Linked DNA regions of Lytechinus pictus. The protein of the gene in region 2 purifies or fractionates together with the protein of the main gene of each other region. This does not show direct contact. Links are inferred from orthologs where the notes say so. Each region holds a gene or a part of one and is shown on either strand. Other genes may lie near its edges. The genes, in order: serine/threonine-protein kinase PLK1-like and C-Jun-amino-terminal kinase-interacting protein 4-like.

Region 1 (16,829 bases), on a different chromosome or scaffold from region 2:
CCATCGGTATGTGACTACTCACCTAATCTGACGTCAGCCTTGGAATGAGGCTTGGAGGATACCACACTGAGCAGATGAGTCCTCAGACTGGCCAGGTAATCTTCCTTGGGTTGGAAAACCTTTGGTTTGCCGTTCTCTTTGCGCTCGCTGTGCTTCCGGGGTTTCCCGCTCTGCTCACGACTGGGAGGGACGTTCTCATCTACAAGAAGAACGCAGGCAGCCAACATTGTCATCAAAGTATGAACTGTCTTAGGACTGGGCAATATTGATCTTGTGGACCCCCCCCCCCAAAAGGAATCACAATAAAGCAGGGGAAAAAATATTGTCACCATGAACCTTAAAAAAAAAATGTGCGACACACATCCAATGCAGGAAGTATGTACGCATCGAAGAGACATTATATTTATAAGAAATTTCATAGAGGAAGTGCAATAGTCTCGGGATTTATACTTCAAAGCTATCTTGAAATTAGAAATCTTAACATGACTTTCAACCAATGAAATGCGCATGTACAATAAGGACTTCTGCTTGAGTTTTTGAGTTGCCTTCAAACATAACTCTTCCTGCTATGGGCCCCAGGGCTGACTGACAAGGGGTGGGGGCCTATAAGACCCCCAATAAATTATGTGACCCCCCCTTGGATCCGCCACTGGGGACATCTACATGTATCTAGAAGTTGCACTCAGCGACAGAGGCAAGATAAGTATGTGGCTCTAGGTGTGAACAATGGTTGAATAGACCTACCCTGTGCTTGGACTTCTAATAAAGGTCTTCTGGATGAGGATACTGGCACTTGGAACCTTGGAGCCATGGTAAGACAAGTGGTTGGAAGCTGAGGTGGTAGGTACCCTGAGGTGAAGAACTCGTCCTGGAGGAGGACGTCAATGTGCGGCCTCTGTTGAGGATCGTTCTGAAGGGGAAGAAGGAAAAAGAGGGTTTAGCCATAGCGAGATGGGTGGGAGCTGAGGCAGTAGGTACCCTGAGGTAAAGAACTCGTCATGGAGCGGGACGTCAATGTGCAGCCTCTGTTGAGGATCGTTCTGAAGGGGAAGAAGGGAAAAGGTTTTAGCCATAGTGAGATGATTGGGTGCTGAGGCAGTAGGTACCCTGAGGTAAAGAACTCGTCCTGGAGGGGGACGCCAATGTGCGGCCTCTGTTGAGGATCGTTCTGCAGGGGAAGAAGGAAAAAGAGATTTTAGCCATAGTGAGATGGTTGGGAGCTGAGGCAGTAGGTACCCTGAGGTAAAGAATACATCCTGTAGGGAATCAATGGGTGGTCTCTGTTGGGCATCGCTCTAAAGGGAAAGATTGATTTACATAAGAACAGGCTTTGTAAGAATACATTCCTAGCCATAGTAAAATAGGCGACGGGGAGCCGAGGCGGTAGGGTACATCTCGGAAGAGGGTTGATCTGAAAACTCTAGATTGATTTAATGACAAGGGGATGAGAGAGAATGCAAGAAATCTGTCCAAAGCTTCTTTTCAAAAGTTTGATGTCATAGTGTTTACATGGACATGCAATGAGAATAGGAAAACAATCATTCAGATATAGATACATATCACATTATATACTACAGAGCCCTGTCTTACAAAGAGTTGCGATTGATCCAATCAATTGCAACTATGGACGGCCGGCAACATCAACATGTATTATTCATGGTTGTTCAAAATATTTTCCAACTATAGTGTAAATTCCTGCATTCATTGTTTTCTTGAAAATTCACTGTGCTTCTCTTTGTTTACAACGGACATTGTGCCAATCTCCTATAGAAAAAATTAGGACACTGATGGATTTCCATAGAGTTACGATTGATTGGATCAATTGTGACTCTTTGTAAGACGGGACCCAGTTGTTATATCATGTGACAAGTACTGCACAAAAACTATTATTACCATCGTTACGAAAGTCTTTACTTACCTTGAGTAATTTTACAATGAGATTGCGAGCCGGTGTACCGACACTGGATGGTATTCTGTATTCATTCCTCTTGATTCGTTGATAAGTGTCTTTCAAGCTCTGGGTCTCAAAAGGGGGTTTCCCAACCAATAATGTGTACCTGGAGGACAGATCAAAACAGTGCAAGTCCATAAAGAAGGACAAAGGATTACAGCCAAAAAAAAAAAAAAAAAAAAAAAAAACTAGACTAATACATAGAGACATTGGTTAAATTTTCTAAAAAACCCTATGGAAATTAACTTTCACAAAAATAGGGGTATTATGGATGAAAATTGATTGACTTCTTTCCCGAAAATAGGGACTGTCCCTATTGAATAAAGACAGAGCAAGTATATGTAATAGGCAAAGGAAAAGAATTATGGTTAAAAAAAGAAAGAAAGAAAGAAAAAAAAAAATCTTACTTGCCTTAGAAGCAACAATCAGAAAACTGAAAAAAATTATCAATATAATAATAATAACAGGCATTTATACAGCGCCATCTATCTAGATTAGAAAAAATATATTCCAAGGCGCATTGTTATTATCATTATTACCCCGGCTTTAGCTCGAGCTGCCTTTCAGCACTCAGTGCATTCAAGGAATTAATCCTGCCGGGTAGTCGGGTACCCATTCACCTCACCTGGGTCGAGTGCAGCACAATGTGGATTAATTTCTTGCTGAAGGAAATTATGCCATGGCTGGGATTCGAACCCACGATCCTCTGTTTCAAAGTCAAAAGACTAATCCACTGGGCCACAACGCTTGGGCCACAAAAGACCAAAATAATTGGTCTTTTATACTGAAACAGACTGATTGGCTAGATAACTTTTGTTTTGTGGTTACATGTACATGCAAAAACCTTATCTAAGTTGAAAATAAAATTATCAATGTCTAAAAATATTTCTACAAGTTGAATGAGCAATTGTACACAAGAAGTTTCCATTTTGCCTATAATTCCAAGTCTGACCAATTAACGAAATGGCTTTACACCTGTTTTCATCTGTAAATATATAGGACCTGCACAAACCAATGACCATCTCAGAAGGGTTTATTTTCATTTGGTCTAATGCCAATTCGTCCAATTGCCAACTCGTCTACTATCATTTGGTCTACCATCACTTCGTCCACTGACCACATGGTCTAATTGCCATTTCATCCACTCACTGTTTCGTCTGATAACCAGTTGGTCAAATAGCCATTTAGTCCATATACCACTTGGTCTAATTAGACAAAGTGATAATTGGACCAAATGGCTGTTGGACGTAATGGCTTTAGATTAAACGAAGGTAGGCCATCTGGTGAGTGGACAAGTTGGCAATTTACCCTGAGAAGGAATATTTTAAAAAGACTTACATGATACACCCTAGTGACCATAGGTCAACCTCGTAGCTGTGACCTTTCTTGGATAGCACTTCCGGGGCAATATAGTTGGGAGTGCCACATAACGTCCTGAAGAAAAAAAAATCAAACAAAAATCAAAAGTTACAATCATTATACAGAGTGTCCCAGAAAAAAAAAATGAAAACCAAGAATTATTGATGCCTTATCATACCTAAATCACAAATACAATAGACAAATAAATGACCTATCATTGTAAAATCACACGTCTCCTCCGCAGGACTTACTTCTTGCGCTCTCCGCTGAAGTCGACCTTGGTAGCAAGGCCAAAGTCGCCGACCTTGATCTCCATGTTGTCATCGAGGAAGAGGTTACCAAGCTTGAGGTCACGGTGGATCACCTTCGTCTTGGACAGATACTGACAGGCCAGGATGCACTGCCGCATGAAGTAACGAGTCTCTGGCTCAGTGATCGCCTTCCGTCTTTTGTGAAGCTCCATTAGCGACTGTTGGAGAGAAAGTAAATGAAGAGAATCAGCCAATAACGACAGCGACGGACATTAGTTGTTTTGAGCTCTCTTTAAAGGTCAAGTCCACCCCAGAAAGATGTTGATTTGAATAAATAGAGAAAAATCTAACTAACATAACACAGCAAATTTCATCGAAATCGGATGTAAAATAAGAAAGCTGACATTTTTAAGTTTCGCTTATTTTTTCACAAAACAGTTAAATGCACAACTAAGCGATATGCAAATGAGAGAGTCGATGATGTCCATCACTCACTATTTATTTATTTCTTTTATTGTTTGAATACAATATTTCAATTTTTTACAGATTTGACAATAAGGAACAACTTAACCATAAACTGTTAAAATAATGGTAATTTCATGTGTTCAGGGAGAAATAAAACTTTGTTTCACTTGACAAGAAGAAAATTAGAATATTTCATATTTCTTATAATAAAATACAAAAGAAATAGTGAGTGGGTGACATCATCAGTCTGCCAATTTGCATACCGACCAGGATGTGCATATAATTGTTTTGTGAAAATAAGCAAACTAAGAGACTTAATAAACCAGGGGGGTGTTTCACAAAGATTTAAGTAAAATGTCATAACTTTCTTATTTTACGTCTGATTTTGATGATTTTTTTAGTGATATGCTTGTTGGATTCTCTTTTTATTCAAATCAACTTTTGGATGGGTGGACTTGTCCTTTAACAACATACATGTAAGCTGTGTCATGGCTTTATATGTATCATGGTTTGAAGTCTGTCATGTTGTACAGGGACACATTGCAGAAAAAGTGTGAATGATATCATAACTTAAAGGAGAATGAAACTCTTGGAGCAAGTTAACTTTTGTGAAAGCAGAAAAATCAAAGAATAAGATCAATAAAAGTTTGAGTAAAATAGAACTAGCAATAGAAGAGTTATGAGCATTTGAATGCCGAGATCACTAATGCTATGGAGATCCTCCCATTGGCAATGCGACCAAGATCTATGATGTCACAGATGAACAACTCTCCCCTTTTGGACACTGAAAATATACCCCAAAACATCTCTTTTTGCTCATTCTAATCATATGACAAACGATTCATCAATGATATAATGTTGTGAAACCTCTGTACTTGTCCTCTCATAAAGAGAACACATCACCTTGTGATAGACTCTATAAAAGTGAGAATATAAGTGAAATAAGTACTAAAGTAATGAGGGAGTTGTACGTGTGTGACATCACAGATCTTGGTCGCATTGCCAATGGGAGGAACTACATGGCATTAGTGATCTCAATATTCAAATGCTCATAACTTTCTTATTATTCATTCAATCTTCCTCAAACTTTCAACAATATGTTTCTTTGATTTTTCTCTTTGATATGGATTCAGCTGGTTTCAAGGGTTTCATTCTCCTTTAATTAAGTCATTGTATATATATTTACAAGACACATTCACTTACCCTCCTCCTGCACAACTCCAGTAACACATAAACGTTGTCCTTGTCTTCAAAGAAGCTATGAAAGCCTACGATGTGACGGTGGTGGAGGCTCTTGTGAATGTGGATCTCCATCGTCATCTGCAATAGTAAACAATTTGGTCATAATGGAGAAGATTTGAAGAATTGATTACTGTATCCAATTGTACTGTCACCCTACCATTTGTTTTAAATGCTATTCTATAATCATTTTCTGGAAAGGAGTGTAGCATTCCTGGGCTGGGCTCCGTCTTTAATACAAATTGCGATTGATCCGATCGATCACAATTATGGACTGCCAGCAATGTCAACGTCTATAATGCATGTTTGTTCAGAATATTTTCTTACTATGATGTATATTCATGCATTCTGATTCATCGTTGTCTTGAAAATTCATTATGCTTCTCTTTGTTTACAAAGGACATTGTGCACCTTTCCTGTAGAAAAAATTATGACACTGATGGATTTCCATAGAGTTACGATTGATTAGATCAATCGTAACTCTTTGTAAGACGGGGCCCTGCTGTATACAGGGTGCAGGAATGCACACATACCATAGTCAGTGTTAAATACAGTACAGGTACATGCAACTCCAATTTTACCCCCAAATTCCTAAATGCTGTCTATTATTTCTCTCTTTTTTTTGAAAGAGAAATAAAGACAGTATATTAGGTATAAATGCTAAGTTATATCTGAATCTGACAAATAACATGAAGTTTATACAAACCAGGGAATGACTTGCTACCAAATTTGAAGGGAATAACCTGCTAACCATATAGCATTTTTTCTTTTTCCTTTTTTTCCCCTATTTTTTCCATGGTTGTTTGTGTCGAATTGTATTCAATTTTATGTACATTTCAAAAATATTGTCGATTCAATAAACACAAAATCCAAAAAAAAAAAAAAAAAGCTACTTCAGCAAGAATCAGCATTTACCGGTAATCCCTGTGTAAAAAAAAAGTGTAACATGATATATAGTACCTTGTCTTTTTGGTGAGGTTTGACAAGAAGGGCTTTCGAGACGACCTTGCCAGCGTAGATCTGTTTGGAGGCATCATCAGTCAGCTCATAACACTTAGCGAAACCACCCTGTATAGACACAAAGAAAAAAATAATGTAATGGCTCAGTACAGCCACAGGTGCATTTGAAAGGGGTAACAGCTATCTTAGCCTACACTGTACATGTACATCTTGTAGTAAAAAAAATCAATGAAATGTCATTTTCTTAAAAGAATTGAAAATGGTTTAAATTAGACAGGGGTGTGAGTGGTCACAAATAAAAAGATCTGAAAAAAGCTGAAGAGTATTGAAAAAGTCTGAAATAGAAAGAGCTCCCATACTTTTTGTACAGAGGAAGGCAAAAAATAAGCTGAAATTAAGCTGAAAATCAAAAAAAAAAAAAAAAATCTAAAATCAGATAAAAATCTGAACTCTCACACCCCTGATTAGAGTCCTTTAGTATATCAACATACAAATCATTTAACACCTGCTTCTGAAAGAAAAAAAAAAAAAAGAAGTTGAAGTCATCATGAACCGTTAAAAAAATTGAAATTTATGTATTTTGTATTGGGGCAGCTGAGATCATATGTCACAAATAAAAAAAAAATATAATGACTTTCTTAATCTTTGATGGATTTTCCTCAGAACACATCTATTATTTTTTTTGGGGTATTTTTAGTAGGGTATGGATTGGGGCATTGGGCAAGTTAACATCTTTACACTGTGGCCCACATTGACAATGAGGGAGAAATATAAATCTAGGAACTCAACAGTTGTAAAATATCCCCCCCCCCTTATGTTCCACCATGGACCTGTGGTTCTAAAGACCTATAATTCCAAGGCCTACTCCGCATGCGGTGGGGGGAATTTCGGCAAATTACATGTAACTATTGTAAGCCAAAATGTATAACTATAAAAGAACATTTAGGTATGTGTTGTTTAATGTGTTGTACTTGGGCTATGGACAGGGGATTTATTTTGAAAATATCAGCTGAACGACTGATGACATGAGTTACAAAAGAGAAGTTTTTTGCCTATAAAATCCACTAGTTAATGGAAGTGGCCAGGTGGGTTGTTTGTCTTGTTAGATACATGTGATGTAGATCACTTTTAAAAAGGGAAGTTCACCCTGACAATCATTTGAAAAAAAGAAATATTGGTGAGGCTTTCATGAAAATCAACCAAAGCATTCTTTACAATTTTTTATTTAAAGTTTCAATTTTGTGATGGAATAAGTCACAGAGGAGCAGCTACTCCTGGCACAAGTTTGAAGATCGGAGGGGGTCGGGTGACAAATTGTCTGAAAATTTGTTGATTTGATATGAATTGACCCATAATATCCATATGCTGTACTCTCATAGTCATACCTCATAGTACCCGAGAGGGGGTCGATAGAGTGAATAAAATCTTAATTGATCGAAATCTAACATGCTAATTATGTAGTGTGATGTATAAGTCATGATCATGGTCTCATATTTGGGCATTGATCACTTTTTTTTTTAGTTTAATCTGAAAATGACTTTCCACATTTTTTTGCAAGAAAATCATAATTTGTTCCAATTCTAATATTTTTTTGCAAAAAAACAGTATGATTCTATTTCTAGATCTTGTTTTGTTATTTCAATGAAAACAGACCTTCTAATACTGAACATTCTAACAAAGTTAGTCAAGATAGAAAGAATTACAGTACCATCCGGGCGGATGATCCGGCTGATTCCTTGCTTGAACAATTGTTTCAACTTTCAAGAAATATCGTAATGAAGATAAATGAACACAAAATTATGAAGAAAAAAATCACGTCTTCACGAAACAGGTGAGAAACTGAGAATGAGATCCAGCTCAGCCCCGTTTTGGAGGCGGAGGCGAGGTTGAGTTGTTCCAAATTCCAATCCCCCTAACAGTAACAAGTTTAATTATAAACTTGTCTTGGCCTGGTTTAAAAAAGTATATCAACCAAAATTTTTGTGGAGTTTTCTAAAATAAATGTTAATTTTTGCCTCATTTCACTCGGGTTAACTAACTTTTTATTTCGTTTAACCTTGCGGTACGCAGATATGTGCCCCCTCTCTTTCTTCTCTTTTAACTGATACCTCCACTATTTTGATAATCCATTAAATTTCAACACAATTTCCTGACTCCATTCAAATGACGCAAAACCTCACACTCCACTGGCACTGTGGCTGTGCACAGTGCAGTGCAGCTGCAGGTCACTTTACTATTCACACACACACAGCTCAACAGGCAACACGACTCAACACTAACTGAAAATGAAAAAAAAAAAGCTCACGAGTTACCTTGCCCAAAAATCTTCCTTTTGTGTATGTTTTTCCAGTTGATGGATCTGTAACAACATCAGGAACTTCCTTTACTCTGAGATCTTCCTTATGTCTTGACGCCATCTTAATATTTTAAGCCAAAATATTTCAAAATTTGTCCAAAAAACTGCAGACAATTTCAATGCGTCGATCAAGTCAGCTGCGATCGCCTGTTTCTGACGATCTTTTGTGCATTTAAAAACAGCGGGCCGGTATTCAATGAATAGTGGTCGTTCATTGGCCGATGAAGATCTCCGCTTTCGCAAATACTCTGCTCTGATTGGACGAAGGTACGGACATTTAAACCGAGTTGTTCATAAATTTAAATATGGTACAAGGCATTTAGGGTCATTTTCTAAATATTTATTTATGTATATTTCTTTGTAAAGTATAAAGGAATTTCATAATTACGATTGATAAATATATCTGTTCTTATTTGATACCATTTATAATAAAAAACAATTAAAAAAACAAATAATAATTATTTTTCTATTATTCAGACAGTCTGATAAAGAAGCTAGATTTATTTACATATTTTTAGTTGATCCACGTGCACCGACAAGATGGCGATGCTTGCGGAGCCGCGACGGCGACAGAAATTGTCTTTTGACCCGAGAAATAAAGCTTGGAGTGAAGGTATGAAACATGTATGACATTGAATAATATGAGTATCAGGTATTCTGATGTTCTCCTTGTTCTGTTGCCCCCAAGAAGAGTAGTAAATGTCAGCGCGGTCAGAGTCTGACGTAGTCGTAGTGTGTGGTTGTGGAGTAGGATTGGATGCCAGTGGCAGTGCGTGAGTGCAGTGTCTCTGTGTGTATCGTAGATGGACATGTACAGACACAGTAATCAGTAGTGTCAGTATGGCAGTGTATCCTATAGACAGCTGGCAGCCGTCTGTTTCGAGGAGTTTTTTAACTTTTTTTATTTTTTTTATTTCTCCTCGTACACAGACGGCTCGCTAACGTCCCGTTAAAGACAGCACGTTAGCCATTCTCTGATTGGTCGGTTAAGGACGTATATCCTGTGCATGTACGTACGGACTATACACACTAAAGGACGTTATTCGCAAGATGGTAATTGAAACGATCTTCACAGGTTCGCTATCACCATATTCAGTTTCCTAATTTTAATATCACACAACTGCAAATGAAAGATTCTCCAAGGAATTCTGAATTGGACAACAGGACGAATGGACGATTATCTAGCGAAGAAAAACAACTTTTTGACCCATACTGTGACGCGCGCGCTCACGCTCAACCAATCAATCAATGGTCAGACTATAGACTTCGGTACCAGTCGTAATAAAAACATATTTCATGCACGTCGCCGAAGATACAATTTTTTGTGTATCACTATCAGACTCGTGGCTCGTTGCACTAGAGCTAACCGATTTTGTTTTCTAGTTCTACGTTAGCGGATGATATTTACAATATAACGACAGTCTTCTTATTCGAGTGGTGGTTTTTTTTTTGTATTAAGAAGTTTTTATTTGTCAACAACTTCAATTCATACATGTCATATACAAAATAAAATACATACATCAAATACAATATATCTTTACAAATTAATATATGAATACATTGTAAACTCATATACACTTTAAATTTTCTCTTTTTTCCTTTAGTGTTACAATAAAACCTAATAAAACTCAACGTACTCGATTTTTTTTCTTGTGTCAAAATATTCACAACGTAACAGATTTTCCAAATACACAAAACCAATCATTAATACAACCTAGTCGAATTAAAGCCATTAACAAGGATTTTCCATAACCCCCCTCCCCACACCTTGGCCTCATTCCTCATATATTTCATATCCTATAACAACATCAGCCTCAGGCCCTACCCTCTACCCCTCCCCATAACCCCCCTCCCATGCCCTTCGTCGTCACAACCTTCCCGTTCTACTCGTGTGGGGGCGGAAAAAACGTTTTCCTTCTCTGAATGGTAAGAATGAAAAAAAAAATATATATGTACATATATATATTAATGAAAAATACTCTCATGCCTAAGCATTCATTGAAAAAATACTTTATTCATTATCGTTATTATATAATTTATACACACGTTATTTATTCTTATTTTATTTTTAACTTATTTATCATTTATTCATTTTATACTTTTAATTAATTAATTTATTTTATTCATTTATTTTCATTTTGTTTTTGTTTTTGGCACATTTAGCTCTCCCTAAACTCCTCCCAACATTCCCATTTTCTTAAAGTATACATCCAAAGAATCAAAAGTATTTTATAATGACTTTATGTGGTCATCATTGTAAAGGGGAAGTATTACTAATCAGATATATAACTTCACTTTTCAAAATAGTGATCAGAGATTGCAGAAATCAGCTCTCAAAAATGATTTATTTTCATGCCATATTTCTGCCTTCCACCGGTCCTCTTGCGAGCTCCAGCTGAGTGACGTCACACAATGAGCAGTGTGCAGCTGAGCTGACAGCAGCCCATTGGAGACGATCTTTCCAATCAGCGTTTTTTGCTCTTAGAATTGTTTATTCCTCTTAAGATTGGTCTTGTTATATAGATAAAAGTTTGAATTTACTGAACAGTGAAAAAAAGTGCACATTTAACGTATTTTGGTAACCGATATTTAGCTTAGAATTTTTTTTTTTTTCAAGAAATATATGTGAATAAACAAAGCATATTTTCACGTAGAAATCACACTTGCGTCACATTAATGTTATAGTCAATATAAAGCATAGACATTCTTCTTTATGACTGAACAAAAATTATGAAATTTCATTAAGTAGCAAAGTCAGGAACCACAAAAAAAAACACGGCAATATCCATCGCGAAATGACTGAAATTGCAGTTGAATTGCCGAAGCATTATTAGGAAACAGCGGCGAGCGGACTTTCTTTTATATATCTTAAAAATGCCTTCCTGTTAGGGAGATGGTCTGTGGCCAAATGCGTTGGCCATTGTTTTGTCATGTGCGAGGACCCTGGTTCGAAACTCGTTTTTTTTTTCTGGGTATTTTTTTTTTATTCCTTCCCTGTCCCTACCCATTTTTTTTTTCTCTTTTTATTTTCTTGTGAAATTCTATTCAGACCTGTATTTATCATATCTTGCTTCTTAATTGCTGCTTTTGATTTTCAAGTTCTTGATTAGATTATTTCTACTCTTATTTGGGATGGGAGGGGTAGAGTTAAAAGTCAAGTCCACATCAACTAAAAATTATTTGAATAGAGTAATTTCCCTTGTTGTTTTTACTCAAAACAGTCATATACACAAAACAATGATATGCAAATTAGAGTTGTCACTCACATCACATTCGTTTCTATTTTTGTGGCATTTTGTTTTTTATTCTTTGCAGATTTGACGATAGAAACTCTTCATCTGATCACAATAGGTTATATTTACGGAACTGTTAAAATAGTAATTATATAAATTTGAATCAAAGTTTTTATGAAATTTCCTGCAATATCTTGTTATTTTTCTTTAAATTCAAATGAATTTTTGATTGCGTGGACTTCTCCTTTACTCTTAATGTAGGGAATGCATAGCAAAATTTATCCAGAAACAAAATTGTCTTAGAATATGCAAATCAGTAATTGGACACATGTTCACTTTTCTTTCATCCAGGCCACTTCCTCACATCCACCAGGCTTTCAGTCTTATAACAAAAATGATGAACCATCACACAACATTCACAGTGCTTCACAATAAATATTTCACTTCTGTTCATACATGCAATAAATATTGTGGAAAACAAATAAAAGGCGTACCCATATTCAAATACCGTTTAAAAGGACAAATATATTATACCTTTCGAGAAAAATCAGCACGTTAAATATCTGATAACAAAACATAATTATGGGGCACTGCAAGAAACTTATGTTCAATTGCAAATCAAGCGTAAGTCTTAAATTCAAATTCAAGCGTAAGGGAAATAATAAGATGGCAAATATAGCGATCTTCAACGCTTATATATAAGCGTCGAAATTTGTAGCCATCTCCTTGTATTAGTCTATAATATACGACGTGTCAAATTGTAGCGAACTAGTTCGCTATTTCCAGATCTCCTCTATATATATATATATATATATACGAGGGGGAATTGTAGCGAACTAGTTCGCTATTTTCCAGATCTCCTCTATATACAAACGACGGGAAATTGTAGCGAACTAGTTCGCTATTTTTCGGATCTCCTCGATATATACACGAGGGGAATTGTAGCGAACTAGTTCGCTATTTTCCAGATCTCCTCTATATACATACTACGGGATTTGTAGCGAACTAGTTCGCTATTTTTCGGATCTCCTCGATATGTACACGAGGGGGAATTGTAGCGAACTAGTTCGCTATTTTTTTATTTTTCCAGATCTCCTCTATATACATACGACGGGATTTGTAGCGAACTATATATGAGGGGGCATTGTAGCGAACTAGTTCGCTATTTTTTTGGATCTCCTCTATATATACACCAGGGGGGAATTGTAGCAAACTACATGTAGTTCGCTATTTTTCGGATCTCCTCTACATGTATACGACAGGAAATTGTTGCAAACTTGTTCGCCATTTCTCATCTCCTCTCTAAAATATAAACATGGCAAACTGTAGCGAACTAGATGGCAATTTTTCTGATCTCTTCATATACACGAGGGGGAAATTGTAGCGAACTAGTTGTCATTTTTTCCAAAGCTTACATTATTGTGAAGGCTTCAAAGTGAAAATCTGCAGGTTTTGGCTGTATATATTGATGCCATATTGTCAAATTGTAGCAGACTAGTTCGCTATTTTCCAGATCTCCTCTATATCCATACGACGGGCTTTGTAGCGAACTAGTTCGCTACTTTTCGGATCTCCTCTATAAAATTATATACACGAGGGGGAATTGTAGCGAACTCGTTCGCTACAATTCCGTCTCTTGTATATATAAAGATCAGAAAAATAGCGAACTAGTTCGCTACTTTTCGGATCTCCTCTATAAAATTATATACACGAGGGGGAATTGTAGCGAACTAGTTCGCTACAATTCCGTCTCTTGTATATATAAAGATTAGAAAAATAGCGAACTAGTTCACTACAATTCCTCCTCGTGTATAAAATTTTATAAAGAAGATCCGAAAAATAGCGAACTAGTTCGCTACAATTTTCCGTCGTATATATAAAGAGGAGATCCGAAAAATAGCGAACTAGTTCGCTACAAAAGAAGAGATCCGAAAAATAGCGAACTAGTTCGCTACAATTTCCCGTCGTATATAGAGGAGATCTGGAAAATAGCGAACTAGTTCGCTACAATTTCCCGTCGTATATATATATATAGAGGAAATCCGAAAAATAGCGAACTAGTTCGCTACAAATCCCGTAGTATATGTATCTAAAGGAGATCTGGAAAATAGCGAACTAGTTCGCTACAATTCCCCCTCGTGTATATATCGAGGAGATCCGAAAAATAGCGAACTAGTTCGCTACAATTTCCCGTCGTTTGTATATAGAGGAGATCTAGAAAATAGCGAACTAGTTCGCTACAATTCCCCCTCGTGTATATATCGAGGAGATCCGAAAAATAGCGAACTAGTTCGCTACAATTTCCCGTCGTTTGTATATAGAGGAGATCTAGAAAATAGCGAACTAGTTCGCTACAATTCCCCCTCGTATATATATATAGAGGATATCTGGAAATAGCGAACTAGTTCGCTACAATTTCCCGTCGTATATATATAGAGGAAATTTGAAAAATAGCGAACAAATCCCGTAGTATGTATCTAGAGGAGATCTGGAAAATAGCGAACTAGTTCGCTACAATTCCCCCTCGTGTATATATCGAGGAGATCCGAAAAATAGCGAACTAGTTCGCTACAATTTTCCGTCGTATATAGAGGAGATCTAGAAAATAGCGAACTAGTTCGCTACAATTCCCCCTCGTATATATATATAGAGGATATCTGGAAATAGCGAACTAGTTCGCTACAATTTCCCGTCGTATATATATAGAGGAAATTTGAAAAATAGCGAACAAATCCCGTAGTATGTATCTAGAGGAGATCTGGAAAATAGCGAACTAGTTCGCTACAATTCCCCCTCGTGTATATATCGAGGAGATCCGAAAAATAGCGAACTAGTTCGCTACAATTTTCCGTCGTATATAGAGGAGATCCGAAAAATAGCGAACTAGTTCGCTACAAAAGAAGAGATCCGAAAAATAGCGAACTAGTTCGCTACAATTTCCCGTCGTATATATATATAGAGGAGATCTGGAAAATAGCGAACTAGTTCGCTACAATTTCCCGTCGTATATATATATATAGAGGAAATCCGAAAAATAGCGAACTAGTTCGCTACAAATCCCGTAGTATGTATCTAGAGGAGATCTGGAAAATAGCGAACTAGTTCGCTACAATTCCCCCTCGTGTATATATCGAGGAGATCCGAAAAATAGCGAACTAGTTCGCTACAATTTCCCGTCGTTTGTATATAGAGGAGATCTAGAAAATAGCGAACTAGTTCGCTACAATTCCCCCTCGTATATATATATAGAGGATATCTGGAAATAGCGAACTAGTTCGCTACAATTTCCCGTCGTATATATATAGAGGAAATTTGAAAAATAGCGAACAAATCCCGTAGTATGTATCTAGAGGAGATCTGGAAAATAGCGAACTAGTTCGCTACAATTCCCCCTCGTGTATATATCGAGGAGATCCGAAAAATAGCGAACTAGTTCGCTACAATTTTCCGTCGTATATAGAGGAGATCTAGAAAATAGCGAACTAGTTCGCTACAATTCCCCCTCGTATATATATATAGAGGATATCTGGAAATAGCGAACTAGTTCGCTACAATTTCCCGTCGTATATATATAGAGGAAATTTGAAAAATAGCGAACAAATCCCGTAGTATGTATCTAGAGGAGATCTGGAAAATAGCGAACTAGTTCGCTACAATTCCCCCTCGTGTATATATCGAGGAGATCCGAAAAATAGCGAACTAGTTCGCTACAATTTTCCGTCGTATATAGAGGAGATCCGAAAAATAGCGAACTAGTTCGCTACAAAAGAAGAGATCCGAAAAATAGCGAACTAGTTCGCTACAATTTCCCGTCGTATATATATATAGAGGAGATCTGGAAAATAGCGAACTAGTTCGCTACAATTTCCCGTCGTATATATATATATAGAGGAAATCCGAAAAATAGCGAACTAGTTCGCTACAAATCCCGTAGTATGTATCTAGAGGAGATCTGGAAAATAGCGAACTAGTTCGCTACAATCCCCCCTCGTGTATATATCGAGGAGTTCCGAAAAATAGCGAACTAGTTCGCTACAATTTCTCGTCGTTTGTATATAGAGGAGATCTAGAAAATAGCGAACTAGTTCGCTACAATTCCCCCTCGTATATATATATAGAGGAGATCTGGAAATAGCGAACTAGTTCGCTACAATTTGACACGTCGTATATTATAGACTAATACAAGGAGATGGCTACAAATTTCGACGCTTATATATAAGCGTTGAAGATCGCTATATTTGCCATCTATAAAATACCGCAAGCGTAATAAGGTCGAGTTGCAATCGCACTTCAACTACATGTTTAATCAAAGGACTTACCCTTGATTTGGGACGTGTGATTGAGTATAACATTTCTCGCAAAATGCCCTAGTAACATTAAAATTGTTCTTTCGTTTAAATTGTGTGTTATTATTTTTGACAAGCTGTATTCTTGTCCAAGTCAAATTTCTTAGTTCTCTCCAAAACTGTGCTCAAAGTTGTTTCCAAGATTGATAAAGAAAAAATTTCTTTTGTATCATTATCAGTCCACAACTTGCAAACCGTAGGTCCTGGAAAGAGTGAAGAAAAAAATGGCTATACCCAAATCATAGTAAAAGGACATGATGGAATCTCCCAGATTGAGGTAGCAAGCAGAGACCATAAGTCACCAGAGTCAGCAAGTGTGCAGATCTGTGTGTAGAAGAGAGAAAAAAAGAAATAGTTTAAATAATCAAATTAAAGTATGAATTTAATTATCGTGATGATTGATGACGTGCGGTGGCATGTAATTCCCGGTCAACAACAAATGATAGTAGGTTTAGACACCTGAAAAGTTCCACTCAGAACACCGGTGCTCTACCTCAAGTGATGTTTGTGTAGGCCCCACTCCACTTCACTACCGCTACACTACCGTACATGTACGCCACACCTACCCGGGTAGGTGTGTAGCGTAGTGTAGGCTGTAGCAGTACTCCAGTAGTGAAGTGGAGACTACACGAACATCACTTGAGGTACGGTGCTCTCTGAGTCTCTATC
Region 2 (17,056 bases):
AATAATAATAATATTCCGCATTTATATAATAATAATAATAATAATAATAATAGCAAATTTTTATAAAGCGCTTTTCCCAGAATGGCTCAAAGCGCGTTACAGCATATTATTACCCCGGTCATTGGATTCATTTCAATCCTGCACGAAAAGTGCACAATTTCCACTCCCTGGGGAGCATTCCTTGCATTCATCGCAGCCTCATTATGGCGCTGGCAAAATCAAACATACAATATCTTTCGCATCCTACCGGGTACCCATTTAGCACCTGGGTCGAATATAGCGCTTAATACATCGGAACGACGTCTCTAAGCGCTTTTACAGACATATTATTACCCCGGTCATCGGATCCTTGCATGCCCGCATACAATGTATGCACCTTCTCCACTCCCTGGGGAGCATTCCAACAAGAGTTCCAAGACTCAATTGCTAGGCATACTACATATAGGCTTTCACATCCTACCGGGTACCCACTTAACACCTGGGTAGAGAGTGGCAAAGTGTGGATTGACGCCTTGCCAAAGGACGCTAGGCCATGGTGGGATTCGAACACACGACCCTCTGATTACAAGGCGAGAGTCAGAACCGCTACACCACGACGCTTCCACGTCGTAAGGTAAGGGGGAACATATGGGAAAAAGGCCATAAAACAATAAAACAAGAACAAAGAGGCCAGTGAAATTGCCACTAGGCTTGATAAAAAGTGTAATTTGGAATTACCATAATGTCCCTCATTTCAAAACATATTGGATGACAGAAAGCTGCCACTCATTGATAAGGAAATAATTGCAAGTCATTTTCATGAACTGCAATAGTAACAAAATGAAGCCTTCTTAAGGTATGGAACTTTGTGAAGTTGAAGGTGATGGTCAAAGATGTCCAAAACTTCAAAAACTAAAAAAATGAAGAAAAAAATTTTTTTTCCCCAATTTTTTGCAAGTTCACAAAATGAGGGATGTGAAGAAATAATATCCCCCATGCAGAAAATATTAAATTTGACCCTGCTTGCATGCAGATATAATTTTAATAAAGTGTAATAATACCTGTCTCTGCATTCATAGTAGGGACTGTAGCCTGTGTTTCTGTGGTGGAGGACCCTGTTCCAGCAGCGATAGGTGATGTCATCGTCTCCGTCAGTTCCTTCTCTAGGTTCTTTTCATTAGATTTATCATTGAACTTGTTGAGAGCATTAGAAGGAGTGGTGGTCGGCGATGACAGGTCATCGGACATTATCCTCTCCTTGGTAGGTGTCAGCTGGTCATCGTCGAATCCACCAACCAATTGGTGTTTCTGAATGTTTATCCTATGGGAATGGATAAGAGTGAGCAAAGTTACAACAGAAGTATGCCTTACATACATGTAATCTGGAAAGTAACGGGAATTATTATCTGTACATTCTTGCAGATATGGGCTTTGCTTGTTTACATCTCTAGATACACTTATTCTACACAACTGTGTATTTAAGAATGAAAGATCACAGCTAAAGATTTATTGGATTTTATCACATCTGTCCAATCAAAGATTTTTCATTTTTGGGTAAAATCATGATACTTGAAGGTAAAAATAAGTCTCTTTATTACATTACATCCCCTTTCTTTTTCATTTCCCCCTTGGTGGGATTAACTTAGATCAAACTTGAAGGGTATTTAGGCTGACAAACTTGTTAAAGAAAGAGAAACTATGAATGAGAATAATAAAAAGTAAGTTATTTTATTATAACAGGCAAAGTGCATATTTTTTATTGTTGCATAAACAGTATAAACCATATCGTCGCCTTCCCGCAGAAAGGCCGTTAACGTGCAAGTACATTTTTAAGAAAACGCAAATTATGTTTTGACCTTATTTTTGTGCTTTAAGCAGCTAGTGTATTATTTTCTGTCCTAATTCTCATACTTTCTGACAAAGATGTTTTCTTCATTGATATTTTGTTTGTTTTATTTAAAACACTCTAATCTACGCTTTCTAATCTTAAGAAGGAATACCTTACACCCTTTTTCCGGGAAGAAAAATGTGCAATCCGCTGATCCAGTGACCGCAGGAAGGCCGCTAGCCCGAATCGGTCTATGCGCACACGCACGTTGAACGAGAAGCGTCTTGTTCCCAGACTAAGAATGCGTCTATATGCTAAAGCAAGTGGGAATGTTTTTGCTTATTATGTCATAATGACATCACATTCAGGTTCGAGAATGGTACCAGAAGAAAGTTCGGGACATGCTTTTTCCATTTCAGCAATATAACAAAATTCAATTTTTTTTTTTTGGCGCCAAAATACGTTAACGGCCTTTCTGCGGGAAGGCGACAATATAATGTAAATTCTTTGGGTACTTTTTCAGGGGCTGGGTCTTTTTTCCATTCAAAGTCTAAAAGAATACTGTATAAAATGAATTTGGAAGGTATGATTTAAGGAATCAAATAAAAGCTATAAAAGAAATGATAGCAAAAATGTTGACTTCAAAAATTATTAAGCAAATATGATTGATTAATCACCGGCAAGTACACATGTGAAATTAAACTAAATTGTGTGAATAAAACTGAAATACCAGGAATTAGGTGCAAAGAAAGTGCTAAGAAAAAATTCTTATACTATAATTGCCGAGGAATGACTAAATTTTCAAATGTCAGATTAACAACTTTCTTGTTGTGAGATAAAACTTTATTGTGCCAAATTCAACCATCAATGCGCTGAATCAACCCCAGTCAAAACTGAATTTAACATTTGAAAAAAAACTTGTCACTCCTCCACCCTTATAGATGGTGACTTAACATTTACATGTAGGTTTGCAAAGTATTTCAAAGGTGAACTGCATATGAATGATCAATATAATAACTGATTTATTTTTAAACATCATCTGTTGGAAGCCAATTTAATTATATCCACTAAAATCCTTATAAGCACCCTTCTGTCATCCAAGAGATGAGAGGTACAAAAGCTCCAGTATGATTAATTTACAATCAATTGCGCCCCCAACTGCCAGCATGTGAAAGGCCAATTTTAAGCTAGCTAGTACAAAGCTTCTATCAAAATAATATAGTAAAATCACAAAAAATGATAAAAATTACTAAAACATTGCCAGTTAGGTCAACATGGGTGCATTTGTGCTTCTCAGATGAAATGAAGATAACATATATCTGAAATGCAGTACATAGGGAGAAAGTTGAGGAAAAATTAGGGCTATTTTTCTACTTTTGTTCATTTATATTTATAAGCTAACATTTCGTATTGATCCATGTTAATGGCTAAGAAGTTAAAAGAGCCTGCATTGCACAAAATTTATGGTGGAAATACAGAAATCGTTAATGAAACAATTGCATATTTGTGTTTACAGAAACCAAATTTTCATGGAAATGCCAATCTCAAATGCACTTTTTTTGTGAGTTTCCCATTGCCATTTGTACAAATCCAAGAAAAGGTGCAACAGAGATTTGAACTAACATGTTTTGTGATGCCTAATGACCCAAGAGTGTCGAGTATAGAATAATAAATGCTGTGATTGATATTTTGGAATCTGAACAAAAATTTTGCAATGATAAGTAATCAAAATCAACTCTTCAAAATTTTGATAGAATTATATTATTCTAATTCAAGTGACTTCAGGGACCCACTTCATAAAACTTGTTATAATAACAAATTTGCAATAAGAGCTAAAAGCTACTGAAATCCATCTGTCTGATTGGCTGATAGTAAAATTTGTTATAGCAAATCTGCATTTGTTACTATAACAAGTCTTTATGAAGCGGGAATCAGATTATTTTACAGCTGCACCACAACTAATAATTTATTTTCCCATGATGCAATACACAAATCCTCAATAAGCTGGAGTCACTTGATGGCAGTTTTGATTGTAAATAAATAATACTCCCAAAGTCCCAAACAAAGGATAAAATGAAAATGCTGAAAATATGGGAGAAGTAAGACTGTTTTATTAATAAAACCAGACTACTCAAACTATTTAAAAGTTTAATAGCCCTCAGGATGACAATGAGAATGAAAAAAAAACCTGGAAAAGAAATTATGAAATTATGAAAGATGCCCCCATGCAAATATAAGTAATGGATAGGATTTCGAGGGTGGGTTGAAGGTGTGAGTAGGGAAGGAATCCATGCAATATAAAATTTCAAAATGCAATGTGCATGCACAGTGTCAATGATAAAAAGTGTATATCTAAGCCATATATCTGCATATTTTTGTCATGTTGTTTTTCCACCTCTTTTCATCCTAAATGTACGGTAACTAAGTCCAAAAAAATAGGGGGACTGATAATAAAGGAAATGAAAAAGATGTATTTCTTTCCATTAGGCATGAGAAGCCAGTTTAATAATAGTGAAATTTAAGATAACATACTTCAGGATCAGATTTGAATATTGCAACTGGGCTGTTTTTTTCTTTTTATCCATAAAATTTTGGTATATGGCTTAGATATGAATGGTAGAACAAAACAGAACCATGTTAAACAAATAGGAGTTCCAGACTTTTCCAAGCAATAAAGCAAATATCCATTCGTTAAAACAAACATATTCAATACTAAAAATTATTTTTCATTTTTCTGAATAATAACATTAGATAAAATTGTACGAAGGGTAACCACCATTTTAAAATATATCATTCTGACAGATCAATTAATTTTGATAAATTGATTTAATTAATTTTAATTAATCAGATTAGTTTTCAAATAAAACAAAAGCACAATATTTAAATGATATTTGTCAAATGAACACTCATTACAATCATCAAAATCAAGATGTAATTGAGCAAAAAAAGGCTGGAACCCTAATCAGATGAATATTAAAAGTACAATCAAGTCCAACTTAGCCTTTGTAGTGGCCATAATGATGAGGAGTTAATAATGCAAGCAGGCAGTGAATACACTATACACAAACATTCTTTTCTACATTTCTCTCTCATCTACAATGAAGATCTAGAAAATGGGAAGATATCTGTATATAAAACAAATAGAAAAACATGTTGGTTGGAATTAAGGAAGGAAAAGGAATAAAAACAAATGCAATCGCTCATACATGTTATTTTAAAGTCAATCTGTTACTTGTGTACAATAAATATAAATATACACCAAGGATAGTTTTGTTACAATAGGTGTACAATATACATGTACATGTATCCCAACCACCCAACTGGAAGAGGGTGATGTATAGATACATTTCTAGCATTAAACTTGATTTAAATTTCAGATGAAATTTCTTGAAGGGAGAAAAAGCCAAGTCATGTTGTGGAAATAATATTTGTGCTACTACATGTACATGTATATATACTATACTTGTTTTATTTGACAAAAATCAACTAAAACTATGTAAGTCAACAAGATCATTAAACAATTTTCACTGTTGAAACACTTCCAGGCTCAAATCACTGTTTGTATATAAAATAATCATTGTTAAATTATTAGGAAATAAGGATTGTAATATGTTGGCTTAGAATTTAGAATGTCTCTTTCCATACGCCTTCATAATTGAAAGTAATTGCTTACAATGCAATTATCTGTCATTATATCTGAATTTTGTATTTCACTTGTTTATTGTGGTTTGAAAAATGATGCCTCGGCTTCTTTCACCTAACCACACAATATCAGCTCATTTGAGAGGATAAAATCTGCAATCAACTGCACTTTTAGGCTTTTGTTTTATAAAGATCTAAGCCATTACAATATAAGGCTGGTGTATTGAATGTATGTCATTTTGACAATGACACTGTGAATGATTTTAGAGTTTGATACATCAGTCACTTTGTAGGAAATTTATGTTGTGTCAGGACATGGTATTTGACTTGCAATTGAAAGCAAGTTTCTTTTAATTGTTTGAGAATGCATCATTCAATGAATAACACAACATACAAAGGCTATCAACCAACATCTTTTCAATGCCACCTTATAAATTAATCAAGAAATGAACATTTTACATATTGTAACCATAACTCCATAATGCGTTTAAAGCATTATACATTCTTTAAATTGTGATCTATTTATTCATTTATTATTTTATTTATTTATTCATTTATTTATTCATTCATTTAATTATTCATTTATTTATTTATGCATTCATCTATTTACTTATTGATTATTTTTTAAATTAAATTTCATTTACCCATTTATGTATTCATTTATTACTATCATTTTGGGGGTGGATGCCAAATAATCACTAAATAATTCATTCTATTTTAGTCCATTTTAGTGTATGAAGAGATAGGCAGAATATACTGACTATTAAACTATTGTTAAACTTAAAGAATATATAAAGGAGTACATTTTTTATCCAAATATAGATATATATTTACAAAAATAAAATATGCACTTGTGCACTAAAAACCAACCATGCTCTTAAAGTTAGATGAACCAAATGTGCCTTTCCAAGCTACATATCATATAATACTGATGGTTAGTTCAACAAAAGAAAACATGCATTTAATACTCTCAAGTCAAAGGTACATGTATGCATATTTATATGTGAGTATGATATTGTAAGATATCAGTAATGATTACAAAGGAAATGATCTGTTTCTCATACTCATCATCCCCCCTTGAATAAGTCGGAGATCCAAGCTCGTGATTCATTCTGCATCAAAGAGGATTTATTTTGGGGCCAATTCATTGATGTGCTATGATTTCTGATAATTTTTTTTTATTCAAACCAAGATATCATAAATGGATTTTTTATATCTTACATCAATTTTACTTATTAAGATTCATCCCTTGAATAAAATACAAAGAAAATATCTGAAAAGGTACTCATCACAATGTCATATGATTATCATCCCTTATGAATAAATGATAATATAAAAACAAAATCTTGCATAGCAGGAGTATAAATTATCCATTCCAACAGATACCTACAGTACACATGAGAAATAGTACTGGATAGATTGGAAAGAACGACAAGCTTTTTATAGAGGTGTCAAACAGAAGTACCAAAGTATGATTATAAGGTCTATAAACTAATATACATGTAGACCATAGAAAAAGCACCACAATTGTACCATCATCCCTTTGATAAATATGAATTTCAATTTCATTTATGTGTTGCAGAAGAGATCTGAAGGGGCATTTAACAAACTTCAGCAGTATTAAAAGCAACTAAATTCAAATACCCAGTTGTGTGTGGTATATAATGCATAATGGTCAAACAATGCTTGGAGGATGTTTGCTTCTGTGTAATAATGAAGAAGTCTATATGTAAAATACGTGTCCTGTGGCACTTAAGCATGAATTTTAGTCACACTTAAATCTTCGTAAAACATCCCCTTTTTTTCTTTTTCCTTTTTTTTATAGAAAATGAGCATGTCTCCATGAACAGGATTGTGTTCAAGTTGCCAAACAATTCTTACCACTATGACAAAGAAATAAGGCCAAAACATTGATCAACTTGATTTAAAACTGCTCATTTACTTGCAGAGCTTGAGTTGAAAATACTAGCTCCCCCCCTCAAAAAAAAAAAATCTGAGTTGGCGTGTGAGTGTAATAGATCCATGGTGTACGTGAACAGTGCCTTTACATTTTAACCAAAGATCCCAAATAATATCATTTCACATTTCACAGCAGCATTTCTTGATATATAGTATATTTTATGCAATTTTGTAGAAGGGTGGGGGGGGGGGGGGGATGGTGGTATCAGATTATAAAGGGAAATCCCCTACCTGAACCTTTGTTGTGTGGTAGTATCAACCTGTCCCATCATCTTGACCCGGTCAACATACTCCAAGTACTTCTGAACAACCTGAATAGAAAAGAGACAGTTTGAAAGATAGTGAATGAAATTGGTAAAGCCATCTACAAAAATTAAGGGGAGAATGCAAAAAGAAGACCGTGAAAAAACCATGACAACATGCATTGTACAGTGAATTTGATGACCACAGTAAGTCTCTTTCAAATAAAAACTCTGAAAAGGGTAACATGATAAGATTAAGGTAAAGCATTTCTTGTTCAGTTAATACAATTAATTTTGTTCATTAAAATAAAGATTTCATTTATACATGTAATAGAGAAGAAGAAAGGGAGAGAGAGAGAAAGAAAGACAGATGGGAGAGAGAGTGAGATGACAGAGAATAACGTGTGTATACATACACTACACTGAGAGCACGCACGCATGCACATGTACCCACTGCACAACTGGCCCAACGAGCAAGCACAATACATATTCATGAGTTCCTAATGAATATGCATTTCTTCATTCAAGAGTGGTAAATATCATATTTCATTGCTAAAAATGAAGAATCTGTGCTTTGGGTTCAAAAACACTTGCACAATATCTTCTAAAAATTATATAAATGTTACCATGGCATACCAAATGACAAAATCATCAATGCCTGAATAAACATTTCAAAATTAAAACTACTAACCATTTTATTAAATACATATTGAATATACAGGTATCATGCAACTGCCACCAACTTTTTAAAAAGGGCTTTTGCTGCTTGTGGCACATGGGATTCCCCAATGGGGATTCCTGTGCGGAATCACTATCAAGAGATTTCGGAAGCATAATATTTGTGATTTGTGGCTGTTAGTTGTCTCTTGCACTGACGCCCTACATATTAAAGGAGAATGAAACTCTTGGAGCAAGTTAGCTTTTGTGAAAGCAGAAAAATAAAAGAATAAGATCAACAAAAGTTTGAGTAAAATAGGACTAGCAATAGAAGAGTTATGAGCATTTGAATGTCGAGATCACTAATGCTATGGAGATCCTCCCATTGGCAATGCGACCAAGATCTATGATGTCACAGATGAACAACTCTCCCCTTTTGGACACTGAAAATATACCCCAAAACATCTCTTTTTGCTCATTCTAATCATATGACAAACGATTCATCAATGATATAATGTTGTGAAACCTCTGTACTTGTCCTCTCATAAAGAGAACACCTCGCCTTGTGATAGACTATAAAAGTGAGAATGTAAGTGAAATAAGTACTAAAGTAATGAGGGAGTTGTACGTGTGTGACATCACAGATCTTGGTCGCATTGCCAATGGGAGGAACTACATGGCATTAGTGATCTCAATATTCAAATGCTCATAACTTTCTTATTATTCATTCAATCTTCATCAAACTTTCAACAATATGTTTCTTTGATTTTTCTCTTTGATATGGATTCAGCTGGTTTCAAGGGTTTCATTCTCCTTTAAGTAACTACAAAAACCAACTTGACAGTGTCAGGGGTTTGAAATCTTCAATAAAATCCCAGACTTCCTAGAACTACAGGGCAACATTTCAATTCAAATCAAACTATACATATAATTTTCTTTAAAAAAATATATATTTACATATCGTAACATTTCGATATGGAATGAGCTGAAAATTTCACAATAAATTTCTTTGTGGCATACTAAATCCAGTCGCTAATTCATTTATAGATACATGCTCAAAAGTCCCTTTTCAAAGAAACAAGTGGAACGCCTCTGGCAGTCTCGCCTGCATTACGCGATTTAATATAGCAGCAGTGCTAACTTTGAAAACTACTATAAAATAATCATTCACAAAAACTCCATTCATATAATGACATAATACCACGTTCATTGACCATAAATGACATTTGAACGGTGACTTAAGACTTGTCAACTACATCCATGTCCACATTTCAATCACTCTATCTATAAACTTTCAAAGTTATGATGGCAATTCAACAATTACCCCAACATGGCCTAAGTTTATTGACCTTAACTGACCTTTGACCTTGGTTTTGTGACCTGAAACTCACAGGGGATGTTCAGTGATACTTGATTACTCTTATATCCCAAGTTTTATGAACTAGATCCATAAACTTTCAGAGTTAGGATGGTAATTTAACAAATACCCCCAACACGGCCAAAGTTCATTGACCTTTAATGACCTTTGACCATGGTCATGTGACCTGAAACTCGTACAGGATGTTCAGTGATACTTGATTACTCTTATGTCCAAGTTTTATGAACTAAATCCGTAAACTTTCAGAGTTAGGATGGTAATTTAACAAATACCCCCAACACGGCCAAAGTTCATTGACCTTAAATGACCATTGACCATGGTCATGTGACCTGAAACTCGCACATGATGTTTGCTAATACTTGATTAACCTTATGTCCAAGTTTCATGAACTAGATCCATAAATTTTCAAAGTTATGATAGTAATTCAACAAATACCCCCAACTTGACCAAAGTTCATTGACCCTAAATGACCTTTGACCTTGGTCACGTGACCTGAAACTCGAGCAGGATGTTCACTAATACTTGATTAACCTTATGCCTAAGTTACATGAACTAGGTCCATATACTTTCTAAGTTATGATGTCATTTCAAAAACTTAACCTTCGGTTAAGATTTTGAAAATAATTCTCCCAACATGGTCAAAGTTCATTGACCCTAAATGACCTTTGACCTTGGTCATGTGACCTGAAACTCAGGCAGGATGTTTAGTAATACTTGATTAACCTTATGTCCAAGTTTCATGAACTAGGTCCATATACTTTCTAAGTTATGATGTCATTTCAAAAACTTAACCTTAGGTTAAGATTTGATGTTGACGCCGCCGCCGCCGCCGCCGTCGGAAAAGCGGCGCCTATAGTCTCGCTCTGCTATGCAGGCGAGACAAAAATGAACACCTTACTGTGAGAGGGCGATAGAAGCTTTAATAAGTAAATTCTATTCAATAGAAATAGATAGATAGATAGATAGATAGATAAGATATATAGACAGACAGACAGACAGATAGATACATGTAGATAGATAGATAAGATAGCTAGATAGACAGACAGATAAATGGTTTATTTGATAAAAAACATATATCATGGCGACCAAGCTGAATTGAGATGAATTTACATATAAATTAACATGAATCAATACATAAAAAAATTATAATGAAATACATGAACATATCTTTGAATAATAGTTATACATGTAATAATATTTAGAGTGCAAAAATTGTGGAATATAAATATCAAAATTTGATTAAAATAGTATAATGACAATGTAAATTCATTACTAATTGTAAAGTTAAAAATAACAATTTTGATTCACTAATAATTGGATTGAATTCAAACTGAATTGAAGTGAAAATTACTGGTAAGTGATAAATATAACATTATAAACATTGATTTTGAAAAGTAGTATGCATATAACAAAATGTGGAATAAAAAACTATAGGGGGCTGGGGTCAGATTTCTGGGTCTTCATAACATTAACAAGTGGAACGCCTCTGGCAGTCTCGCCTGCATTACGCGATTTAATATAGCAGCAGTGCTAACTTTGAAAACTACAATAAAATAATCATTTACAAAAACACCATTCATATAATGACATAATACCACGTTCATTGACCATAAATGACATTTGAACGGTGACTTAAGACTTGTCAACTACACCCATGTCCACATTTCATTCACTCTATCCATAAACTTTCAAAGTTATGATGGCAATTCAACAATTACCCCAACATGGCCTAAGTTTATTGACCTTAACTGACCTTTGACCTTGTTTTTGTGACCTGAAACTCACAGGGGATGTTCAGTGATACTTGATTACTCTTATATCCCAAGTTTTATGAACTAGATCTATAAACTTTCAGAGTTAGGATGGTAATTCAACAAATGCCCCCAACATGGCCAAAGTTCATCGACCTTTAATGACCTTTGACCATGGTCATGTGACCTGAAACTTGTACAGGATGTTCAGTGATACTTGATTACTCTTATGTCCAAGTTTTATGAACTAGATCCATAAACTTTCAGAGTTAGGATGGTAATTTAACAAATACCCCCAACATGGCCTAAGTTTATTGACCTTAACTGACCTTTGACCTTGTTTTTGTGACCTGAAACTCACAGGGGATGTTCAGTGATACTTGATTACTCTTATGTCCAAGTTTTATGAACTAGATCCATAAACTTTCAGAGTTAGGATGGTAATTTAACAAATGCCCCCAACATGGCCAAAGTTCATCGACCTTTAATGACCTTTGACCATGGTCATGTGACCTGAAACTTGTACAGGATGTTCAGTGATACTTGATTAACCTAATGTCCAAGTTTCATGAACTAGATCCATAAATTTTCAAAGTTATGATGGTAATTCAACAAATACCCCCAACTTGGCCAAAGTTCATTGACCCTAAATGACCTTTGACCTTGGTCATGTGACCTGAAACTCAGGAAGGATGTTCACTCATACTTGATTAACCTTATGTCCAAGTTTCATGAACTAGATCCATAAATTTTCAAAGTTATGATAGTAATTCAACAAATACCCCCAACTTGACCAAAGTTCATTGACCCTAAATGACCTTTGACCTTGGTCATGTGACCTGAAACTCAGGTAGGATGTTCACTAATACTTGATTGACCTTATGCTTAAGTTTCATGAACTAGGTTCATATACTTTCTAAGTTATGATGTCATTTCAAAAACTTAACCTTCGGTTAAGATTTTGAAAATAATTCTCCCAACATGGTCTAAGTTCATTGACCCTAAATGACCTTTGACCTTGGTCATGTGACCTGAAACTCAGGTAGGATGTTCAGTAATACTTGATTGTCCTTATGGCCAAGTTTCATGAACTAGGTCCATATACTTTCTAAGTTATGATGTCATTTCAAAAACTTAACCTTAGGTGAAGATTTGATGTTGACGCCGCCCCCGCCGTCGGAAAAGCGGCGCCTATAGTCTCGCTCTGCTATGCAGGCGAGACAAAAATAGCTATTTTTTAGGCATGAATTTAAAGCTAATCTAAAGTGAATTTAATTCGTTTTTTTTTATTTGTTTTTTTTAAATAAGATATACAAGCTAGAAATAAATGCAAGAATCCATGTTTTTAAGCACAAATATTTTTTCCACCCTCAGTGAGTGCTTAGATCTCCCAGGCCAGGGTCTTGTTTAAACAAGTGATCACCGAGATGATTACAGAATATAAAGCGAAAACACACTTTTATTTTAGAGAGCGCCCCCTCATCTTCAGGAATCCAACTGATAAGATTTGAGAATGTATTGCAGAAAGACCTGTAATCAAACACAACTCTGAAAATCAAATGGACTTGATTTTCAGCCAAACAGAAGCATAATACACAAGTCATTTTCTCTTTGCATTCAAATGAAACTCTTTCGACAATGGGTCCTTGAAAAGACAATATCAGTTTGCCTTCCTGATGGCTCTTTAATCAATTTGAATTCGAGCTCATATGATAAAACAATTGTACCCATCAACTCAAGCACCCCCAGTGTCAACACCCTCTAGATAAAAGAGAATTTTGATTAGAAAGCAAGTCCCTTGCCTCTTCTGGTCAGAGAGATTCAGATTAGTGCCCTGTAACACAACGGTTTGCAATCAATCGCACATTTGAAATATCAACTCTAGATTGGTTACAGCTCAGTCTTTTCAATGAAATGCAAATGTAACAAGGATCTTGATTGGTCATTACCTTTTTTGCTATTGATCATTACATTTGTGTTAAGGGGCCCAGATGCTTTCTAAATTAAGTTTTCAGTCTGTGAAATGTCTCCTACAAGTACATGACTCACACTTTAAAGGGAACGAACAACGTGGCCTATTTTATAAATTTGTAATCAATGGCAAGTTAACAGCTAAAGTTATGCTACTAAGATGCGGTAAACAAATCAGTCAAGAACAAATTTGTAATTCAATTCTAGCATTAAAAAATTGACATTGAATAATTTAATACCTATTTGGCAAAAAATGGAAGCACTAATATTTGGTAATGTGTATAATGTGTCATTAAATACGTATGATCAAAAGCTGCATTGCAATTGTATCTAATTATTGTTATATCAAATCGACAAATCTCCTCCCGGATATCTTTGAAATTAACCTTCCTAACAATCAAAGTGTTCTTTTTTCTTTTGCTTCTCAATCAGACAAGATTACATAGACATCTTGAACTTATCCTCAATATCTATGATTAAAAGGGGGAAAATAAAAAGAGAAGACTACATGTACAGTACATGGGGTGTCAGAGTCTCAGAAACATGACTTTCTCTTGATTGCAATCTCCATTAAAATGTATATGTGTATTAAGGTATACAGGTGTATGCTGGTTTCTTTTTTTAAAATAACTTCTCATGAAACAATCTTTAATTTCAATTAATTGTTTTTTAAGCTTTTTTTCCAGAATAATTCTCTTGAATACAAAAACATGGCCTTTAATCATTTACTATGCTGTTTTACATGTCTATACATGTATGTGTATGCATAAACTGTTTGATCTGACATCTCATTATTTGGGGAAATTTGGATTATTGATGGCAGGGTAATGTCCATTTCAAAATCAAAATTAATGCAACATCAAAGAAAAAATCTGAATGTTTTATTTTCTGAATTAAAAAAAAAAGCCAATTCATAATTTGGTAGAGTGGAATAGTTTATCATCACTCATTGTTATAAATGACATCAAAATTATTTAGTTGCAACATGGTTTGTCCAAGAGTTTTCAGTGAATAGGCAAAACGTTAACAAAGACATCCATATGGCTTTATAGTGAACCATTTTAGACATTAAATCAATATGGAGTAGTGAACCAGTACTTAAGGCATTTTCAATAGGGATTTATAGTGAACCATCGGCCTTTTAATATATTAGAAACATGCATTTAATTTTCGAGGTCGAATTGAATTGATATCACAGGAACAGCAATTCCTAAACATGATCACTTTAAATGCAAATCTCTTAAAATGTTCATACAAAACACGGTGTACATGTACATGATGTATCTCAGCTTTTGACTCTGAAATGTTTGGTCATCAAACACATGAAGACCACTGCAGGAAAGCAAGCTTGCCTGAGTCAGCACATGCCCAGAATACAAGCATTGAAATTCAAGTGCAAGCGCATTTCTGCGAATGCACGGAGAATGCACATATCTGAAGAGGCAGACAGCAAGTACGGTAGTTCAGAAAGGAAGGAGACGGAGTATGCAGTACCTCAATGAGCATGCTAGATGTATGACTGTGCACAATGCTTTCAGCATATGTTTTGAGGAACTCAATACAAATGGATGGTTTCTACATATGGATGTTGTGTGTGCATTTTAATTTGAGCGTACAAGTACTTTCCGATGTAATCTATTTTCAGCATCATCATAAATAACCGCATATGTGTTCAAAGAGGAAATAACATGATGATCATCTGTATAATTGCAGTTACAGACATATACCTCTACATGTACATACTGTATCACATGTTCAGCTGTTACTGCAACTCAATTAAGAAAATCATGTTGTGATCCCTTAATAAAAAAAGAATGTTCAAAATAAAAGTGGTGGGGCCAGAGCCATATCTAATGTTTGTTTGTTAATTATCGTAATACCATCAAATTCAAAGATAATAACGCTTGTTCACAAAGCACTGACTTTAAACCAATTTTTTTTTTGTCTAAATTTTTTTAAAGACACCATCAAAATATATAAAAAAAATAATAGAAAGCAATACCAAACATGAGACCAGACTCGGAAGGCTACGTACAGGATCAGCACTTGCCAATTTAGAATGTAAGCCCTACATGCTGTAGGATGTGAAGTTAGCTGTCAACTAGTAAAGTGAAAAGAATATGAACCTTGTTATATCATACACAATTTATAAAACAGATAAGAGCTCAATGGCACACCAAAATCTTCTCCTGATTGTGATTTTTTCTTCTCAATCTCTGAGTTGCTCTTTCTCCCACTTTCTCGATTATGGCTAATTAATGTGACTAATTGTGTTTCCAATGAATAAATAACGTAGGTCTACATGTACATCTGACTGTGGTAGAATCTGCCTTCATAACCCAATTTTGCAGATATGCATAATTCATTTTAATGTACATATATATACATGTAGGGTGAGAGGATAAGAAAATTCATGACCAAGAAAAAAGTGAGGAAAGGAAAGAAAAGAAAAATAAAAGAACGGTATGTCAAATATATCACAAAATTAGGTTTGTCTACTAAAAAAAAAGATCAAAACTTTTCCGGAAAGGCCAAGTCTGGCCCCTTCAAATTGACTTATTGTGCCACTAGATAGGAGTGTTTCAAAATAGCTCCATGGATTTCCTTTTCCTTCATGTACATTTTGGGAAATAATTAGACCACTTTCCTACTAAGCTCCATGTGACATGGGGTGCGTTTATCCGCCACTTTTTTACCCTAGAATCATGATCTGAATCATGATTCAAATCATGATTCTGCAGAATCACGATTGCGTTTAGTCGAAATTGAATATAATCATGATTAGAATCACAAACATGAAACACGAAAAAAGGGGCGTTTGGAAAGACGTTTCTGCAGAATCACGTACGAAAATGTTCGAATAAACGATATCGTGATTTGAATCATGATTCTATGACCTCACTGTTGTGTCGGGCTACTTTCGGTTTGACTCTTGCCTAGCTCAATGCGCTGTATGTACATGAATATGTACTACGCATGCATTTCTTGTCATGTTCAAGCTCTGTGTTGGTCATCGCATCGTCCACTACTTTTCATTTATTGGTCATGTCTTCAACTTCAAGTTCTATAGTAAATGAATTAACTGGACAGACAATGATCTCAGTTGTTGAGTATACAGTATCAATACTAAATTGGATCTACGCTGAAATTCACTTCCGAACACCATTTTGGATAAACTAACAAGATGAATAGAAGCATATGGACCCTATATGATAGAAGTAAACAAAATGAGGTATAGACTGAATTCTGGAAGCAAAAGATTTTTCGAGAGCCGAAACACGTGCGAAAAACTTCCTCTGTCAAACTGCGCACTAGTGATGCGCACTGGATTGGCCCGAATCTGAGGAGAAACAGCATTGGAATGAAGGTCGTCTAAACGCTGATTCTGTGATATTGTGATTCATGTTTGTGTTTTGAATCATGATTCAAATCATGATTCAAATCATGATTCTGGCTTGAGGTCGCATAAACGCAGCCTATGTCTAATCATTATTTCCCAAGCTTATACTGTACAAGTAGAGAGGTTTATTAAAGGTCAAGTCCACCCCAGAAAAATGATGATTTGAATAGATAGAGAAAAATCAAACTAGCACAACACTGAAAATTTCATCAAAATCAGATGTAAAATAAGAAAGTTATGACATTTCAA

Evidence for each region.
Region 1: the proteins of C-Jun-amino-terminal kinase-interacting protein 4-like (region 2) and serine/threonine-protein kinase PLK1-like purify together in Homo sapiens (affinity purification with mass spectrometry; 7 studies listed by BioGRID and IntAct, counting the BioPlex papers as one, with this or other methods). This does not show direct contact. The link is inferred for Lytechinus pictus from reciprocal best matches to the Homo sapiens genes SPAG9 and PLK1.

What each region holds. Positions count from the first base shown.
Region 1 is NC_087250.1:7,526,002-7,542,830, reverse strand, and holds the start of serine/threonine-protein kinase PLK1-like, read right to left. Parts: upstream 8,750-16,829; 5' UTR 8,643-8,749; coding exon 8,538-8,642; intron 6,334-8,537; coding exon 6,226-6,333; intron 5,347-6,225; coding exon 5,230-5,346; intron 3,780-5,229; coding exon 3,562-3,779; intron 3,386-3,561; coding exon 3,290-3,385; intron 2,058-3,289; coding exon 1,919-2,057; intron 911-1,918; coding exon 745-910; intron 200-744; coding exon 23-199; intron 1-22. UniProt on the Homo sapiens protein: Serine/threonine-protein kinase that performs several important functions throughout M phase of the cell cycle, including the regulation of centrosome maturation and spindle assembly, the removal of cohesins from chromosome arms, the inactivation of anaphase-promoting complex/cyclosome (APC/C) inhibitors, and the regulation of mitotic exit and cytokinesis.
Region 2 is NW_026974140.1:2,997,525-3,014,580, forward strand, and holds the start of C-Jun-amino-terminal kinase-interacting protein 4-like, read right to left. Parts: upstream 7,721-17,056; 5' UTR 7,681-7,720; coding exon 7,640-7,680; intron 6,562-7,639; coding exon 6,514-6,561; intron 1,301-6,513; coding exon 1,041-1,300; intron 1-1,040. UniProt on the Homo sapiens protein: The JNK-interacting protein (JIP) group of scaffold proteins selectively mediates JNK signaling by aggregating specific components of the MAPK cascade to form a functional JNK signaling module.